Rattus norvegicus: one gene and its partner. The protein of the gene in region 2 binds, or shares a complex with, the protein of the main gene of each other region. Links are inferred from orthologs where the notes say so. Each region holds a gene or a part of one and is shown on either strand. Other genes may lie near its edges. The genes, in order: Nptn and Atp2b1.

The links.
Region 1: the proteins of Atp2b1 (region 2) and Nptn are in contact, whole or in part, in a cryo-EM structure (PDB 6A69), measured with the Homo sapiens proteins. The link is inferred for Rattus norvegicus from reciprocal best matches to the Homo sapiens genes ATP2B1 and NPTN. Residues at the interface, in NP_001353449.1 of Homo sapiens: Phe954, Asp955, Ile956, Asp957, Glu996, Arg997, Asn998, Val999, Glu1039, Gln1040, Leu1042, Trp1043, Ile1045, Phe1046, Met1049, Gly1050, Leu1052, Leu1053, Gln1056; in NP_036560.1 of Homo sapiens: Arg245, Ser246, Asn248, Arg332, Arg334, Pro339, Pro342, Phe343, Gly345, Ile346, Glu349, Ile350, Ile352, Leu353, Ile356, Ile357, Tyr360.

What each region holds. Positions count from the first base shown.
Region 1 is NC_086026.1:67,926,956-67,930,774, reverse strand, and holds part of Nptn (neuroplastin isoform 2 precursor), read right to left. Parts: intron 2,727-3,819; coding exon 2,379-2,726; intron 1-2,378. UniProt on the Homo sapiens protein: Probable homophilic and heterophilic cell adhesion molecule involved in long term potentiation at hippocampal excitatory synapses through activation of p38MAPK. May also regulate neurite outgrowth by activating the FGFR1 signaling pathway.
Region 2 is NC_086025.1:35,726,851-35,730,669, reverse strand, and holds part of Atp2b1 (plasma membrane calcium-transporting ATPase 1), read right to left. Parts: intron 2,222-3,819; coding exon 1,910-2,221; 3' UTR 1-1,909. UniProt on the Homo sapiens protein: Catalyzes the hydrolysis of ATP coupled with the transport of calcium from the cytoplasm to the extracellular space thereby maintaining intracellular calcium homeostasis.

The DNA of each region.
Region 1 (3,819 bases), on a different chromosome or scaffold from region 2:
ATTCCTGTCATTACTGTATGTGAAACTAGCACTATGCTGAGCTCCTCTGGCTGCAGTACTACATTTGTGTTTGACACCAGGATGAAGGTGAGACATTTATTTCTGTGGCTCAGTGCTACCCAGTCAAAGTCCAAGAGAGATGAACATTTAGAAATTCAAGTATTTTTACTTATCACTGACTTCTATTTAGAAGCAATAGGTAGGCCCCTAACCCTAACCACCATGTTTATGTAAAGAACATATTATGGCAAAGCCAGCCTCAAAACTGGACCCATTTCTCTTTTGGTTTACATTATTCAAAGAGCTTTGGGGAAAGTACTGGTATGTCATTCTTAGAAGAATTCAACCTCCCTCTAGAGGCAATGTTTCTAAGGAGCCTAAGATCACAAAACAATTTAATTAAAGTTAAATTCAGGGCATTAAAGTTAACCAACTGATATGGATATCCAGGAAGAGACTGACTAGCCAGGTTATGGCTCAAGTATATGCAGATACCCATAAATTAAGAAACAGGTTTCTAAGTAAACGGGTAAGTACTATGTGCTCTTAGGAACTGATGCATACTTAACTCCAAAGCTCTAATCTTCTACTCCCTACATACAGTCTTTTTAGCTACAAGTTAATATTCTTGGGAGTGAAACTACCTAATGCCCAGTCTATAACTATGAACTTCTAGAGACCTTTGTGGCCATTTGGATAATTCTGATTTTTGTTTAAGGAAAGGAGCAAGGGGGCAGGAGAAGGAGGCGTGCAAGGGGAAAAAATTGTTAAAAGAAAGAAAAATTGCTGGGTTAATGTTCCCCATTTTCACAGACAGGTTTTCTTTTCCTCTTCACAGAAGCAGGGTCTCTGATTCAGCAGTACCAACTGCAACAGCCCCTCCTGTCTCCCTTTCACATCCCCTCCTCCAGTTTTCCAAGTGAATACAAAGCAGATACTAATTTGACTTTTTTTCTCTAAATATACATTCAAGTATATACATTCAGTTTTCCAAATCTATCGATTTAGGGTCTCTGTCATAGTACTATGTTATCACCAAATTGCTCACAAAAACAGTATTTTACTACTTAACTTCATTCTCTCTAAATCAGTCAGGTCTCTCACTGAGCCACCCAAAATCATGCAACAGTATAAGAGGCCCCTCTATTGAATTGAGAATGCCCCTCAGTCAGAACCAAGTCAAATGCAGGACTAGAACCCTTCCTAGTGAGAGCCCAGATTTTGTGATGGGCTCTGCTTCCTACCATACAGGTTTCAGAAAGAAAACTGGTCACCCAAACCTAACTTGTACAACAGACACAGGACTGTAGAGAACTTGGATTGAGATTTAACTTTTTTTTTTTTAAGACAAGAGACAGTGTGAATGATTTCCAAACTATTTTTGAGTTTATCATCCACCAGGATTAGGAATTTTGTGAAAACATTAAAGTCAAGCTGTCTGTGGATAGGAACCAGATACAATTCTGACTTTCAAGACAGCATGATGAGAGTTTTAAAAACAATATAATTTTCAGCTTCAGAGCACCTAGCTCCTGATAGCAGGACTAAGGGAGAGAATCTCAGGCAGCTGCTTTAAACAAAACAGGCTCAGTAAGAACTGTGCTGTTGCATTGGAGTGCTGCTGTCAGAGAAGCACATGCCACTGCTTTAGAAAAGAAAAAGAGCTGGAGCTGTGGAAATACCCAAGCTTACATGCCACCCAACAAAACACATATTACCACAGTGCACCATGGCAACATTCCTATCAACAGAACAGGATGACACCAAGTCACAGCGAGGGAAAAGGCTGGGCAGACACAAATTTAAAACCATAGAGGTGAAGGCAGCTAGCTATTCAGAGCGAGCTTCCAACAGATAAACAGGGGAAATAAAAAGTAGTTAGAGTGGGGAGAAAAATAAAAATAGAAAGGCACCAGAGAAGCACTCAGCAAAAGGATAGCAGGAAACCTACTACAAAATTAAAGAGGAGGGAAAAAAACAGTTTCAACTACCCTTATTCCACTGCCTGGCATTTGTGCTATTAAAAAAATTTTTGTTTCCCCAGTTCTCCCTCCCCACCTCTTCCCAGCGAAGCTGACTTTGGACACAGTCATGGATTTCCTCAAGTTCTTTGTTCCTGAGAAGAAAGACACAGAGAAGGGTTGGGAGATAAGGGAAATAGAAAGGACAGCAAAAATAAATAAATAAATAAATAAATAAATAATGTAGCCACAAATGTTTTCAGACATTACAACCAAAAGGGTCATGAATTTGAAAAAACAAAGACAAGGGGTGGGGTAAGCAATTATATTAGGGTAGAGGGAAAGGAAGCAGAAGGGAAGGATCATTGGGCCACCTCTAAAGACTACAGTACTACTACTGTAGGGTGCTGGACTCACTCTGAAGGACGCTTATGGTGGCCTGGGCTCGAATCCATGTTATGGAAGGGTTTTGCCTCAAGTCATTCCGTTTGGGGTCGTTGCTTGCCCTGCACTCGTAAGTCCCAGAGTCCTCCAAGGTGAGCCGGGTTATTCTCAGCACACTCACGCCGTTTGACCCGTAGGCGGTGTTTACGGTGACACGGCGCTTCCGAGCACCGTCCCACAGCTGTCTGAAAGACTCTGCCCGGTTGACTTCTGCGTACCACCACTGGATCTCTGGCGTGGGACTCCCGACCACATCACAGTACAGCTCAAAGGCGTCCCCTGTGAGCTTAGTTTCTGACATGGGCGACTTGACAAACCCAGCTAGAGGGAGGGGGAGCAGGAATGCAGTGACAGGCCAATCAGAAAAAAAAAAAAAGAATCAACAGGTGTTAATAATTTAAAGGAAAGAAAAGAAAAGAAAAAAGCAAATGAGTTGCAGAGAACAAAAAAGGATTCATTTTTAAACTATAAAGAGACAGTAATAGCAATTCATACAAGCTTTTAGAAGAAGAACCACCCTGGGAAGCTTATGAAGCAAAGGCAGGCCAATTACAAGCTGGGGCAGCCCAGATGCTGGCCAGGCAGAAGCAAGCCCACTGGAAAGCATTTTAGCAATGGGCCCAGCTGGAAGGAATGAGAAAGCCTTAAGTCGTGGGAAGAACATCCTTCCACAGAGCACAAAACCATTACCTTTCCAAACTCAGGCAAATGATGGAAGATAACAGGAAGTGGTAATGGGTTTTTATGCCAAGTCAGGATCATTTTTGAATGGGAAACATTTCATTAGAGATGCAGTACCCTTCCTAAACCTCAACAAGAAGTGCATTAACTAATCTAGTACCTTATTATTCAGAGGCCCAATTTCAGCTGAAGGGCGGCAAATTTCTCACATGTAGGATACTATCCTTAGTTTAGACTTTTCCATCTCCTAATCTTCCCTAGGCCCATAGTAAACAAACAGCCCAGCTGTCTATGCATCTATATGAATTCTATCTGAATACAGATCCTCAGGACCAGAAAAAAGGCACAATCTGTACTTCACATCAAAGTGAGAACTATTATACTCAGTTCAGGAGCTGAACCAACAGTAACAGCAACCCAATCAAATGCTAGTGAAAAGATAGGGACAATACTCTTCATGATGCTATAAATTCTACTAGTAAAATCTCCTGAAAAGCCAGTTTTTGAAATAATTGTGGCTCTTGAAAGAGTCTTCCTAAAAAGGGCAACTGCCTGTCTACTTGCAGTCAATTCAAAGAGGATGAGAAATGTATACTGATGAACTAAACTGCGGGGTGAAGGTTATGCTTCAACTTGCACTTAGGCACTGCTCAGAACTAAAGCTGATGCCTACTTCTACTACCTGCCCTTAACTTGCTTTCTATAAGACAAGTTAGGTTAGTAATAGCAGAAA
Region 2 (3,819 bases):
AGGTAACTGATGGAGAGAGAAAGAGTCCTCCCGCCCGCCGGAAAAAGGAATTATCAAGCACCATCAAACTAGATGTTTCTTTGCTAAGTCAGCGTTTTTTTTTTTTTTTTGTTTTTTTGTTTTTGTTTTTGTTTGTTTTTTGTTTTTTTGGATATGGTAGTCCTCGTAAACTTTGTGTCAGCCTGAGGATTGTTTATCTGGCGTGATCTGCGCCCTGAAACAATACCACTCTCCAAAGGGTCAAGACAAGAGGCAAACAAAGGAAGAAGGTAGACAGAAAAGAAGCAGAGAGCCCGGAAGTTCAACTGTCTCAGAGACGGGCATTTCGGAGTACAGCTGGTTGTTACATCTACACAGATCACGTGCAGGAGCTTCCTCAGATTTTCCTGTGTCATCCTTATTATCTAATCTCTTACTGGGCCACTCAGTAAAAACAAATGCATCAGGGACAATGGTGGTCGTCACTTCGTATAAAACGGTGAGACTGGATTAAACTAGGTTCTCTGGCGGGTATGCTAGCTGGCAAAACTGTGCCGTCTCGGCCTGACTCTACGGGGTGACCATGAAAGAATACAAAAGGCCCTTCCTGGGGGCCGTTACCAGCTTGAAATTTATTCTAGTTGTGGTTAGAGGAGACGGGCCAAGGCGGCACATAGACAGAACCAAGCAGCTGAGCTGTCTGAAGAACCATTACCGTGTATTTATTTAATAAAAGGGCGTATTTATTTATGTTTACAAACAAGTTCCAAAAAACGGAAGGAAAGCATGTACACCTCTACCTATTAACCTTTTTCCAAATGCTGACAGCCCTCCTACGCTTTGCAAAGGTCTCTAAGGAGTTATTAGAAAAAAAAAAAATCAATACAGTCACTCACAGTTCACCGAGACATCGCTGAACTAACGTAGTTAAGACAAAAACAAAAACAAAAAAAGACTAAAGGTTCTCTTGTAGTTTGATAGTTTAATTTGATTGGCCTGAAATAACAAAGGCATTTCAAGCATCTTTCATTGTGTATTGGATGTCCTGCAATAAACAGTCTACTAAATTCTGAACAAAAGGTTATTAGCAAGTTTTCAAAAAATTTAAAAATTAAACAGTTCTTCCAAAACCATTAAGTAGTAAATGTATTTAAGAAACTAATTAGGACAGATGCCATGACTTCTTTAGAACACCACTGCTCATGGTTTTTTTTTTATGTTTTTTTTTGTCTTGTTTCTTTTTTCTTTTTTCTTTTTTAAACAAAGCATTAGTGTTATCTATTTGGCTATTAGTATTAGCAATTTATCTACATATTTAACAAGATAAATTGTAGGCAAAAATTTAGTACAGTTTCAATAGAAACACCCCCCCTTTTTTTTTCCTGAAAATACAGCAGTATTTGAACGACTAATTTTTCTCTGCATTAGTGATAAGGAAGCCTCCCATCTATGAAGAACAAAAAAAGTATCTACAAACCTTGTAAACAGATCTGTATCATTTATAAACATAAATAATCCAAATTATTAACAGCCAACAGCAGAAATTAAAGTATTCACTCAATGATCCAGGGCTCTCTGTCTCACCCAGCGTCACTCCTCCCTCCCTCCCATCAAGTACTGAGATAAACCACAGCTCTGCTAGTACACGGTCAGGACAAGGTTAGGTACCACTGACGACCCACAGGCCACTCGCGCCGTTGTTTATCTGTCAGTTCGTCTCTCCCACACCCCCAAAAAAGCACCCTCGGTCTGGCAGAAAGCTTTTGCTTTTTTTTTTTTTTTTAAAAAAATAAATCTACATTCGTACAAGTGTGTCTTCTGTTGAAGTCCAGAGACAAGAACGCCATCTTGTCCGTCACAATGTGTGAAAAGACTCAGTTTCAATTTGTTTCTTTACAGTGCGGCTAGTGTGTTAACGTTCAGCTTACAATCAGAGTGATGTTTCCAAACTATGCAGTGGGCTCCCTGGGGACGAAGAGGTAGCAGACTTGTTCATTTCTATTGTAAGGTGGATCCCGCTGTCAACGGCATTGTTATTTTTGTTAGGAGAGGGCGGAGGGCTGGAGTTGCGTTTAGTAGGAGCGTCATCTTCAGCATCAGTGTCATCGATAAGGGGGATGTGCGGCTCTGAATCTTCTATCCTAAACTCGGGGTGTGTCATAAAGTTGTGGATTGAACTTCTTGATTCTGGCTTCTCTAACCCTTCGTATAAAGAGCTACGAAATGCATTCACCACTCGGATCTGTAAACAGCACAAAACACAGGGGGATGTCAGGACACCAGGAACTTAACCCCAGCAGCGGTTCACTTATGAGTTTGAATCCACAAACAGCTAGGTATGAGTGAATCGTATTTGCATGTAATGTGGAACTTGCAATACACTGTAAAAAAATGAATATTTTAGTAGGACACTACAGAACAACGAAACCACATACTCTAATTAAGAGGTATACATTCAAAGAAAAACTAACGAAATCTCATTGTTACTGGCTAAAAATATTTAACAGCCATTTTATAGGCTTTTTTTTTTTTTTCCCTACGAAGACGAAAACAAAAACCAGAAAACGAAATGAGAACTTGGCCATACACAAGCTTACTTGAATTTATCTTTAAATCAAAAAGCACATATTTCTCAAAACAATTCAAGCTAAACAATGTCAAGCACAAAAGGGAGCTCTGTATCATGCCAGGAGTTAGGGTGTCACCAACTATGAACAAGCCAAGCAGATATAAGCCGGATGCCACAATGAATTCACATCTGCCCCACTCCTTCCTGAATTGAAAATAAAGATGAACCCAAATATATATCTATAATACTAAACAGCTATAAGTATTTGAGTATATGCCATTTTTCTACAAAAGTGTTAATGGTTTTTTTGGGGGGGCAGGTGTATAAAAGATTGTAACTTAATCACTATAGTTCTCTCCGAAAGAACAGATTCCAAAAACACCACCCTCTGGGACTCTGAAAAAAAAAAAATCAAGGAAAAGACACCAAGTTTCAGAGTTTTCTTTCTAGCAACCATTTGGACTTACACGGCCTAACAATTTGCCTTTCTCCTTGGGTGTCTGCTGTATACAGGAAACTAGGTTAAAAGACAAGCCTAAAAATGTCACTCTGGTCCCAACAGTTGGGATCAATAAACCAGTGTCATTCAAAAAAAATGTTTTTTAAGAGGATAAAATCAATTCAGCTGAGCATTTACATTAGTTAAAATGTAAATATTTTTATAACATGGAAATGTTCACCTTTGTTTCAATAATTTTAAGAATGAAGGCACCATTTACTTATACCTGATACAAACATTCTGGAAGAAAACAGTAGTCACTAAAATTATCTTAACAGTGCAATGACCATTAAGACATTTACTCAAATAGAAAATAGAATGTATATTTAAAAAATATATGGTTGGGTCATGTGTCCCTTCAAATTACTATCTTTCTTCATGTTTGTCTTCTGGGACTTACTACCCCATCTGTGAGCTGTGTTAGTCTAAATCAGTGGTCACAAGCTTGTGTGTGTGTGTGTGTATCTATATCCCATATCTGATATCCTGCACATTACACATTTATGTTATAATTCATAGCAGTAGCAAAATTACAGTTGTACAGAAGCAACAAAGGTAATTTTATGATGGGGTTCACCAGGGCTGCAGTGTTAGGGAGGTTGAGAACCATCATTCTAAATAACTTGGCCCTTTGCACAGAGTGTAAATACAGCTGAGTGAGAAAGGGAGGCATGGAATGAATTCCCCTCCTGCCTACTTGAGGAGGGGGAGTGGTGGCCAAATGGGATTTCTCCAGGAAATCAGATGTAATGCCCCACCACCCCATGGGGTT